Kluyveromyces lactis: one gene and its partners. The protein of the gene in region 3 interacts with the protein of the main gene of each other region in a pairwise test. Links are inferred from orthologs where the notes say so. Each region holds a gene or a part of one and is shown on either strand. Other genes may lie near its edges.

Region 1 (4,600 bases), on a different chromosome or scaffold from region 3:
TTGTGAAAGGTTGTAATCAGCAGTTCCTGGATTCTTTTTTCAGTGACAGTCCATAAGCAAGACTACTGAATCACTTGCGTTCTCTAAATATGGAAACTGAGCCATAGGATATATTCGTCATATTTCAAAAGGAAAGCGAAATGACGACAAGGTAGGGCAACTTTCTATATAAAGAACAGAATAAATAAATACAGCCCTACCGATGCTTGTTGATGAAAGAGCCAAGAATGGTATCGGGCAGAAGATACAAATGTACGGGGGATTAAAAGACGGTAGCCTTACGAAATCTTCATCACGAGACGCGGTACCCTCTTTTTTCTCTTCCCTTTAAAAAAAACTTTATTCAACTGCATTACTGGCTTGGCGAATGCGTTAACACTTTGACCCTTTTGGGTCTCTAAGTAACAGTATAACTTCCTTATTTTGAGCATTTTTCCTACTTGAAGATACGATGACCGTCTAACCAGTAATGAAGTGTGACATTGACATTACCCCATTTTTACCGTGCATCATCGATGAATACCAGCTCCTACCTGCATCAGCAGTCTAGCTGGTTGGACGCGTCGCGGATAAAGTTAGTTATATATGAACACGCTACTTAAATATTCACGACCTGCACTGGGCTTCTTAAAATACGTAGACGTTGACCAAATCTTTGAATCGATTGTTCTGAGTTCGATTTTTTTGGTGGGAAAATCGAATCATAAAGGAAATGAAAGCTAAAACCTAAGTACGAAAAAAAATAAACAAAATACGATAGAACTGATCATATTTTTACACAACAGACAACATTTCTTTCCGGAACGGCACAAGACCAGTGAGCCCTTTACGAACTAATACATACACTCATTACTTTATTATAAATATACCTTGGATATACCTGGTTCGCTTTGTTTCCTAGTTATAAGCTGAGTGTTTTTGATTATTTTTTTTCAGCTTCAATCGCGATTTTAGAGGACGAAACGATACACCTCATAGGCTCCTTCCAGTTTTTGTTGGTATTTTGACGTGATCGATCACTTATCGCTTCCAATATCATAGTATCATTGTTACCTATCCATCATTGGGCTTGGAACTGTATTGCTCATAAATTGGAAAAGTGCCATCTAGAGTGCCTAAATTGATTGGATACCGACTCAAATCGTTCTTACTGAATTGATCGGTTTTGATAATAAGCTCAAGTGAAATAGTGTTTATAATTGGTTGATTTCCGCTGGTCATAAAAACTATTATCGATTAATCGATTATTTATCTCTTTTGCCTTATTTCGAATTGAGACTTAACTAAGACATCAGTTACCAGCTTTCCTTTCTTTCGTTTGATTCTATCCAGTTACACCTCTTCATTGAAGAGTAAAGGGAAATTCTAACGCATATATTCCACACAAGTAACGATTCAACAATGAAGGGTCTCCGGTGGTCAACTAGAACTAGGAAGAATGAGGATAAACATAAAGGCTCTGGGCATTCAATAGGCACGTCGTCAAATTCTGCGCCTTCGTCACATAGGGGATCAACTACATCTACGAATTCTGGGTTATCAATTTCGAGGCATGGCTCTCTACCGAAGTCTGCCTCCAATTTATATCTTTCAGAATCCCAGTCAAGATCGCAACGGTCTTTGTCGTCTTCGAGCAGTAGACATGATCTGCAAACAGTTACAGACGAAGAATCAATTGACTCAATCCCTGGTCATTCTAATAGTCTAACGCCAGTGATAAGTTCAAACAAAGATTCTATGACGATAAACGGAGGATCAGGAAGTACCTACGCCATTAACAATCTTACTTATGATAATAAACATGCCTCTTCCGTTAGCAATAATGACCAAAGTAATGCCGATATACGGTCAGAGAGTCTTGATCGTTCTCATACTCCCGCTTTACAGTTGAATTCTGATAACTTTGATTCTATGGTTTTTAAAACTGGCTGGATGAACAAGTCACACGGTACCGTTCATACTCCTTCGTCTAATTCGTCATTCGGGTCTTCTAGAAATCACCGTGAAAGTAGAATATACGGTTCGGATTTATCCTCCAGTAGTTCTGTCAGGAGTTCGTCTAACTATAGTCAGGAGTACCGTTTATACAAAGCCCAACTTAAAGGATGTGTCCTAAATCTTTACAAATCAGGTATCAGTAATGCAAAATTCTTGGACCCTACACTCGATCCACCTGACACAAAGCATGAACATGAAGAAGATCCGCAGTTACCGACGCCGCCTCTAATGACAGACATTCCAGTCAGCACCTCAAAGGAACAAAACTCTTCGAAGGAAGCAGGTCCCATTTCTAGTCCAAGCTCCAAGCAAAGTACAGTTTCTGCAATCCAGACAAAAGATAATGAAACAAATGTATCAAAGGACATAACGGAGATTAAATATTTAAGTGAGATCTATCCGCATCCAAATTTAAAGATTGATAAGCATGATCAAATTGTATTTGGAACTGTTGAAAGTATTTGTCATGCTGTTTTATTCTCTGTAACACTAGAAACAAAGAAGATTGTGGACCTTATTTTAATGCTGCCCCTGATCGAGGATTTTTCACTTTTCTTTCAATGTTTCTGCTTGTACGGTAAGACCTTTAGCAAGAATAGTGAAAAGCTTACCAATGACTCAAAGCAATTCCATAAAGTTTCGCCGGCCACAGATGAACTGATGACTCAACGTTTAGCATTGGTAGTAAAGACAGTACTAGACGTTTTTCCTGGTTTTTTGCTAGATGATACAACTTTTAATCATATCATAAACCTGCTAGACATTATATCGTTACATGATGATGAAATATCAAATTCCCTCAAACTAGCGATAGCCGAGTCGCATAATAAACTCAACAAGTTGGTTTCGTTCTCCAAAAAACCAGTAGACCAAAACGCTATTTCAAAATTCGTTGATGTCAAAGAATTTCTCAAATTAGATAATGCAATTTTGGCGGACCAAATACATGCTATCAACTTAACATATAATAAGATATGGTCACCTCAGAAAGACTACTCTTTGTTATATGATTCCGCTTTCAACAAGAACTATATTGATCTTAATCCGCTTGTGTTCAATAACAGGTCAAATATCCACTATGTTAGCAGGCTGTTGATCGAACACCTGTTTAAACAGATTGATGGTACGCCATTACACCCAAAGGAGAGGGCCCTTGTTCTGACGAAGTGGGTCCAACTGGGATGTACATTTGAAAAGATTGGAGATATGGTTTCATGGTTGGCGATCGCAACAATAATATGTTCTACGCCTATTCTAAGGCTATCCTTGACTTGGCAATATATTTCGGATCAAACACTTAAGATCATTTTCAAAGACTGGGTCCCCACAATCGTTCAACTTGAGAGAAGGCAATTATCGTTTCGGACTACTAATAGTGTCTTCATCTTAGCTCCTCCTAATCTGAATGAGAAATCTATCAGGGAAAACGTGATTCCGTACTTTGGAGACTTAACTATTCACACTAATGATTTGACTCAGGATACCATGTTTAGGTATCTGGAGAAAAAGATCTATAGAACTAAAAATGCCTTCCAAAAGTGGCAACAAAGGCTTCCTCCAATTGAAATGGCAAATATACAAAGTACGCCACAAAATCCCGACGTCGACTTTCACCACTATTTGAACTATCATGTATCCCGGTCACGTTTGAATGTTGAAAACATAATGGAAATGAGTCTGAAACTGGAACCCCCAAAGCTGGATAAACTTGATGCATTTGCGAATTTATCAAAAAGAAGCTCGCTGTTAAATGGTAGCTATCTGCCAATTTTGTTCAATCAGCTGTTTCTAGACTATTCTCTTTTCTCTCAGACTGCCCTCATAGGTGCTGCAGGTGCCCAAAATAACAGGCAGTCATTCGTTCAAACAAACACCCTCAGCAGGTCCGGTAAAACGCTATCTGTTAGTGGACCCTTAGGCATTAGCCCTGAAGATAAATCGTTGATAACCGGTATTGACCGGATTGATGAACCCGTGGTTAGAGAACTGTCCACAAAGCAGTCAAACAAACAAATGCTTCTTAAGTCTATTCGCGACGTGTTCAGTATCAACATGGATTTGTTCCATGTTTTAGATGATCTTACTTTTAAATCAGTTGATGACTGGGACAAAAAATCGAGACCGGCAAGTGTAGTTATCGAAACCCCTAAAAGATTCTCTGTTCAATCCTCCCGGGATTCTCAAGAAGTTATTAATAGATTAAGCGTTGGTGTAGAAAACATGGACTTTTTCAAAAACATCTCCAAGACAACCGATAGTTGGGATGAGGCTGTTATTAATGTCGTATTGAAATCTGCCTCTCTAGAAAAATTGTTCGATGTCCTGGTTCTGACTTCTTCAGTCTTCTCGAAGCTGGTAAGTATAAATGATATTTCGGCTTTTTTCAAAAACCATCAGGGAAAGTATAACGAGGGAAATGGAGCTGGTCTCTTGGACTACGCAATTGTTAAATTATGCATGGACAATGATTTGTACACCAAAACATTCTTCAGCACTTACAAAAGCTTTACTACAACGGCCTCTTTGTTGGAGAATTTGGCAAAACGGTTCATAGGTGCAAAATCTTGTGCAGTTTCCATTGAACGACTTGTTAAGGATGATA
Region 2 (2,750 bases), on a different chromosome or scaffold from region 3:
ATGACAGAACCGGCAAGATACCCACTTGTTACATTGACTGCAGAGTAACTTACAGTTCCGCTGGTAATGCGGACACCCTCGAACCCCAGGTATTTGGTCTATATCCTTCTTATCCTCTTCAGTGGGTTCTGGCGGATCGAAATTGTATTCCGATACATGATTACCCTTAGAGACCAGCTCGTCAGATTCATGCGAATGCGAACAACCGGTATGCTCGCTTGGTACAGTGGCATGCTTCATCATTAGCGTTTGGATCATGGATGCCTTTTGTGTTTCTGACAAATCAACCAACGCTCTGATTTTTTTGATCCTCGACCTTAACGCATCCTCATCCTGATTGAATTTTACATCCCAATGCGTTAATTCCGTATATTCTTTATCCATTGGCATCACTAAATCGTTCGTGTACATCGTCGGATGCATCACCGAATGAACCTTAGTCACAACAGTAGGATCGGTATGCTCCGGACCCTTTATCTCCTCATTGGCAATACCGATACCAGCACTAGCCTTATCCTTTGAATCAGTACCTGATTCATCCCTTGTACCTTTTTTGCCATCGTCATGCGGAGAAGAACTTCCCCGTTCTGCATACGAAGGTAGGTTCAGTAACATAGTATCCCACCTCGCCTTGAGTGTCTGTAAACGATCCAGCGCCCCGCTAAAAGTAGCACCCCCCTGCAAGTCTGACATAAAACTATCCCATTGAAACTTCAACGAAAGCCGCGAAAGATCAGGGAATCCTCTGCCCAACGTCTCCCAATCGCTATCTTCATCACCGCTGGAAAGACTCATTTATAATCTTCTGTGCACCAATAGGAAACCTTGATAACTACAATGTCAGAAAAATCTCTTATTCCAGTCTTGCTGCATGTAAAGCAATAAGATATGGTGTGTATTCTAAGGCCTTTTACCTATATCTCCTCTGATCAACTGTGAAACGGATTCTTCGAACCTTATTGTAAGTCGAGAAAGTGGTGATTCTCATCTACACACATTTTTTCATGTTAAAGTAAAAGAAAGAAAAAATTAATAAAGGCTTTGGTAGAATTTAATGTATATCTGACAACAAAAGAGGTTTGAATGCCAAGTTCTGGATGGTTCATTGATTGATATCTTCAAGTTGTTATACTAATTGAAAGAGTTTTTTCATATATTTGACTGCTGTTGTACTACCCACTTGGTGAAAAGGATTACTCAGCGCAATTTTTGTGAATATCTTTACTGATATTATAATACACAGAGTACGTGAAAGAAAGGGGAGGTACATTTAAATTCCAATTGTTATACAAACAACAATAGCAAACGACATTTGTTCATACTAATTGGAGAAAAATGGTGTCCGTGGGTTTTTTGAAATCGATGTTTAACGTTTCAGGCATGGTAGCCGATTTGAAGTCTTCAAACTTCAGTATTTACGGTCAATGGATTTCATACTTGAATATAATTTTCTGTCTTGCGTTTGGTATTGCCAATATCTTCCATTTCAGTGCAGTCATTGTATTTTCTATCATTGCAATTGTTCAAGGTTTGATAATATTGTTCATTGAAGTACCATTTTTATTGAAGATTTGTCCGTTAAGCGATAACTTCATTGGGTTTGTCAGTAAATTCGACACCAATTTAAGACGTGCCTTGTTCTATTTGGTTATGTGTGCTATTCAATGGTGTTCTATTATCGTTCAAAGTACTAGTTTAATCGTTGTGGCGGTCGGTCTCAGTATTACAGCTACAGTGTACGCACTTGGTGCTGCTGCTGGTCAAGAATTCAAGAATAGTGCTATTCTAAGTGACCGGGGTAGAGTTGCTGCATCAGTGACAAACGAAGCGGTTGTTAGAGACATGCTTTGAACTAGTATGAGGAGAGGTTATATACCATTTTATTTCTTATTATGTATGATTTTTGTCAGTATAAAAATGTAACAGACCCTGTCTGTGTTTCTTCGAATGGAGATTACTAAATAATTGTTACATGATACTACCAACGCGGTGTTAGCTACACTTGCTATCTACTATATAATTCAAACATCTTTTCACCTGGTCCTTGGGCAAAGCGTTTGAATCCAACATGTCTCTGATGGTTGTTGAGGGTTCATTGTTGATTAGACAAATTGTCTCACCAGTGCTTGTGGTTACCAAGTTGGCAGTATTACCAGACCCGTTGTTTACATTCATCAGTATACCAAACAACGTGAATTCGTGTAGGAGATACTGTGTGTGCTTCAGTTTTAAATGTTGAAGCAAGTTGTCCTTACGTTTATGTGTGGATGAACACCATGGGCAATGAAACTTTTTCACGTTTGAATGAGACAGAAGATGTCTCTTTAACCAAGATTTTCGTCTGAATTGTTTCTCACATAGATGACACTGGTACGAGTGATGCGATTCGTGTGGTACGCCATCATGAGTCAACTGTTGCTGTTGTTGATCATGATCTTGGTCACGCCCGTTATTAGGATTGGAAAGAAGCTGTTGCTCATGGGTATTGTGTTCTTTGAAGGTTGAGAAGGAATCTTCACCAGTTCGAATGTTTAAAGGCTGCAGGGCCGTTGAAGGCTGTATATTGTGAGAAAGGTTTTGGGTTTGAGCTTGAAGTTTGACTTGCAGCATTTGTAACTGCTGCAAGTTATGCAATTGTTTATAATGTTGCATTCTATCGATTGAATGCACGGGGACGGCAGGGTGATAGGCCTGCTGCAAATTGTTATTATTACTGTACTGATAGTTCGTGGTATTAGCAGATGTAGAAT
Region 3 (4,352 bases):
TCTTGACCGACCAATCGAGCTGCCTGTTCCGGAGAAATATTTTCGTCGTGCTCACCTTGTTCTGCTTTAGTAGAAGGAGTGAAGATAGGAGATGGGAATTCCTGAGATTCCAGTAAACCTTCTGGCTGTGGTAAACCATGGACAGTACCGGTCTTCTTGTATTCTTTCCAGGCAGATCCTGTGATAAATCCACGAACGATGACTTCTAATGGGATTAATTTGTGTTTTTGAACCAACAAAGATCTTCCCTCCAATTGAACTTTGTACTTAGATTCTGAAAGCTTTGCAGGTAATTTGTCAAAGATGGTTTCACCTGGACCTAATGGTTTCAAATGGTTGCGGACATCTTCCTTCAAGAAATCAAACCAAAATTCGGACAACTTGGTCAACAAGATACCCTTTTCTGGAATTGCATTCTTCATGATGACATCGTACGCAGAAATACGGTCAGTAGCGACGAACAACAAAGTTTGATCATCGACTTGGTAAATGTCTCTAACTTTACCTCTAGCCACTAATGGTAGGATACCGTCCAAGTTGGTTTGAGTGATGCTTGTCGTGTTCATGATGATCCCTTTTTTTCTTTTCAATTTCAATCTCCGCAGTAGTAATAGTCGGAAGCGAGTGAGTAATAGTACGTGAATCAGCTAATGCTTAGATGTGATAGTTCTCTAACATCTATCAAATATTAAGTGAAAAAGTGATTATACCGCTTTGCAACCACCTAATTTGCACACGTACTTACAAAGCTGGCTCATCTCATTATATACATCGCATTTCAATTTTTTATTTCTCATGTCTCGAGGGAAAGTAATATCGAAATATATCGAGATATGTCAAGTCAAAAATCATCATTTAAACACGTGACTGATATATTCCACGTAATGCTAAAATAGTAATCCGGGTAATGAAATATATTTCGGTTTCTCTTTCGCATCAGTTCCTTTTTCGCATAGCGAAGTTTCTGACATTCACAGCCGTTAGTCTTTAGTGATATACATTTAGAGATACAGATATGGTGGAATTAGTGAGAATGAACATGAAACGAGACAGAGAGGGAAAGGTGTATAGCGTACAGTAAAGGTCGTTCGACTTATCGAAGCTAGCACCTATACAAAAGGCGCAACAAACCATTTTAGAAGGGTTTTCAGGGGGATTTTCCGCTCTGGATAAAGCACTAAGAGGCTTGAAACAGCTTTTAATTCTCTTGTTTTTGGTGCAACATTTTCCACTGAGGTTTCAGAGATATATTTATACACGCGTTACTTGGAGAAAAGTATTATCAGCTTCCATCTCTGAATCCTATCTGTGCATTAACTGCTATTATACCACTCGAGTTGTATCGTATGATGGATTTGGAGTATCCTAAGATGTCAGGACTCGCAGGTCTGGGCTCTGGCTTAAGATCACGGGAACGATCAAAACCTGATCTATCGATATTAACTGATCCTACACTGGTTGAGGATTTCGATGAAATCATGAAACAGATGCGAAGCCTCAAGAAGGACGAGGAATCCCTGAGTGTCAATGCTAGTGTTGTGATAACGCCGACTGAAGCACATGCTAATGACGTAAATCGTCAAAAAGTTGACTATGAAGGTGTCCCGGATCTCGGTGATTTACAGTTGGAAGATGAGGAGGAAGAAGAAGAAGGAGAAGAAGAGTTAGCACAGGATATCGATAATGAGCATGATACCAGTTTCAGTTCGCGACATGGGAACGAGCTGCAGGATTCAGATTATGCATATTCAGATTCGGATTTTGAAGATAATTTGGAGGAGCGGTTAAGAAGTTTAGAGACTTCTTCTCAAAGAAACAGCGGAGAACATGTTTCTTCTGTGAAAGGGATAGTTGCAAACGATACATCGAGTGCTATTGATAATAACATGGTGGCAGATCGTGCGAAAGAAGCAAGAAACGGATTGGAGCAGAGATCATATGACGATATTGATGATGACGATGATGAGGCAGAAGAACAAGATGACAACGACGAAGAGGACTTGAATATAGGTTGGAACACTAATGAATCTGATGATTCTGATGAGCTGCAGCCGTTAAATCCGCCGCAAGAATTAGACCCCAGCAAATTATATGCATTATACCCGTTCCAGGGACCTGATCCATCACATTGCCAGTTGGAACAGGACGAAGGTTGTACTCTTTTGAATGACCAGGACTCTTATTGGTGGTTAGTTAAACGTTGCAGTGATGGGAAAATAGGATTCGCGCCTGCAGAACTTCTTGAAACGTTTCCTGAAAGGTTAGCTAGACTGAACTGTTGGAAAAACGAAAATATATCATCACATTCAATTTCTCATAAAGAGGATTCAAATTCAAGCAAAGAATCGAATATTTTGAACAAAGAAGATAGTATTGAGGCAGTTGAGTCCCCGTTGAACGCATACTCAAAAACTAATAAATCGGTTAGCTTCAATAATGTTGTCAGTTATGCTGAAAGATATATTGATGAAATAGAGCAAGAACCATTGGAGGACGACAGCGGAGAACTGAATGGTGCAGGAGAATACGTTCATGATGTGGAATCAAGAGACGGGCAAGACGGGCATCTACACCTGGGAACAGATCTTGGAACTCACTTAACACATGTCGATGAAATACATGAAACCCTTCTGAATGATCATTTGTCAGATGATGTAAGCGAAGTTGTAAGTGATGCTGCCTTCAATGTCCATGAAATGGCACCATTAATGGTGCAAAAAAATAGACCTTCAAAACCTGCCTTGACGGATCTGTTGTCAGAGAAACAAAATGATCTAAAACAAGTCTTTCAAGCTCCCACTATGCCAGTAGCAGCACCAAGAGGTACTTCCCAAATGACAAATTCAAATTCAAATTGTTCCATATCTACAATCGGAGAATACTCGCCTTCCTCTTCAGACTGGACAAATGATTCACCTCAGTTGCTAAGTGAAAAGGAATTCGAGAAGTCTAATTTGAATGATCAAATCCCATCTTCCAGAGCTATTCAAGATATATCGAAAATTGTAAGCTCGCAAGATGCGCCTGATTTGAACTCTCTTCATGATGAAGATTCTCTGCAACATAGTGAATCATTGCCAAAAGTAACTCATAATCACCAGCATTCGATATCTACACTGAATGCTGTAGATATCAACAGTTCTGTCGGGACAGAAAAAACTATTGATATTGATGAAGAAAATAGTATCTTACCAGATGAAAATACAAACGCTTACAGCACCGTTCCATCCTCTATAGCCTCAAGTTGCATGGACCATGAACACAACTCTCCATTAATTTCTGAAGTAGCATTGCATACAAGCACTGGTGTAGTAGGGGATTATCATCCAGTGATTAACTCCTTGTACAACCCTATTTTCAGCAAAATAGATGTTATGATGGACAAGATAGAAAACGCCATCTCAAACTGATATTACCTCCATTCAACGCATTATGTAGCTAACTTTTATAGAGACATAACCCAACAACAGCAATCACTATTGCTTCAGTAATCTGTCTGTGCTCATCTCCTGTTTCAGTACCGAAAGAATAACACACGTGACCGCAGTACTGCATTAGACTTTAAAATTTTTTTTTGGTTTGTTAGCTCATCGCAGAGATATCAAATTCACTAAAAACATTTGAGCAGGAGGAAGCACGGATATTGCTGATAAGGAAGTGGTCAGTACCGTGGAGACTCCATAAACAACCTTGAATCCCAGTATGCCATGGTCACCAGATAACGAAGGACTAACTCAACTTTGTTTGACATTACAACATGCTGTTTCAACTAATTCTGATGAGAGACAGCAAGCACTCGATGCATTGGAAACATTCAAATTAGAACCACAGTTTGCCAATTATTTATGTTACATTTTACTTCATCTTGAGGAAATGGATCAGTTAAGAGGTACTGCAGGTATTCTTTTGAAGAATTGCATATTGGGAGGCAACATCGTTGACCTAGGGTATGTCAAATCAGAAATTGTACGCGGGTTGTGTTTGAATAACAAATTTATTGTCAAGATTACTGGTATTGTAATTGCAGCCTTGTATTCTACTTATTATAGACAGCATAGAGAAGATCCTCAAGGGTTAATCACACTTGCACAATTAATTGAGCTCGCGAGAGACAATAACGAGGGTTCTTTGAAGGCCTTATCCAAAATGATGGAGGATGGTGCACAGTTTTTCCAGTTACAATGGTCGAACAATCAGGTGCCGATTGGAGAATTGGTATCGTTGTTTTTGACTTTGATGGTAGAAGGTAAGACACCAGTAGTCAGATCTGAGAGCATCAACTGTTTGAACAATATTATCCCGTTACAGTGCCAAGAATTATCCGTTAATTTAGATACTTTATTGACAAACAT

What was found. The genes of interacting proteins can lie anywhere in the genome.
Region 1: the proteins of BUD14 (region 3) and BEM2 interact in binary tests that used the Saccharomyces cerevisiae proteins (3 or more experiments, as listed by UniProt). The link is inferred for Kluyveromyces lactis from reciprocal best matches to the Saccharomyces cerevisiae genes BUD14 and BEM2.
Region 2: the proteins of BUD14 (region 3) and TVP18 interact in a two-hybrid assay, tested with the Saccharomyces cerevisiae proteins (2 studies listed by BioGRID). The link is inferred for Kluyveromyces lactis from reciprocal best matches to the Saccharomyces cerevisiae genes BUD14 and TVP18.

Annotation. Positions count from the first base shown.
Region 1 is NC_006041.1:90,891-95,490, forward strand, and holds the start of BEM2 (GTPase-activating protein BEM2), read left to right. Parts: upstream 1-1,401; coding exon 1,402-4,600. UniProt on the Saccharomyces cerevisiae protein: GTPase-activating protein (GAP) for RHO1 and RHO2. Involved in the control of cellular morphogenesis. Required for proper bud site selection and bud emergence.
Region 2 is NC_006041.1:1,646,271-1,649,020, forward strand, and holds TVP18 (Tvp18p), read left to right. Parts: upstream 1-1,335; coding exon 1,336-1,851; downstream 1,852-2,750. Other genes in the region: KLLA0_E18503g (RING finger and CHY zinc finger domain-containing protein), read right to left, coding at 1-795; MOT3 (Mot3p), read right to left, coding at 1,993-2,750. UniProt on the Saccharomyces cerevisiae protein: Golgi membrane protein involved in vesicular trafficking.
Region 3 is NC_006039.1:388,466-392,817, forward strand, and holds BUD14 (protein phosphatase regulator BUD14), read left to right. Parts: upstream 1-1,346; coding exon 1,347-3,410; downstream 3,411-4,352. Other genes in the region: ADE1 (phosphoribosylaminoimidazolesuccinocarboxamide synthase), read right to left, coding at 1-566; KAP104 (Kap104p), read left to right, coding at 3,703-4,352. UniProt on the Saccharomyces cerevisiae protein: Important for bud site selection. Seems to be a regulatory subunit of the BUD14-GLC7 type-I phosphatase complex. The BUD14-GLC7 complex is necessary to regulate microtubule dynamics at the cortex and may function as a specific activator of the dynein complex.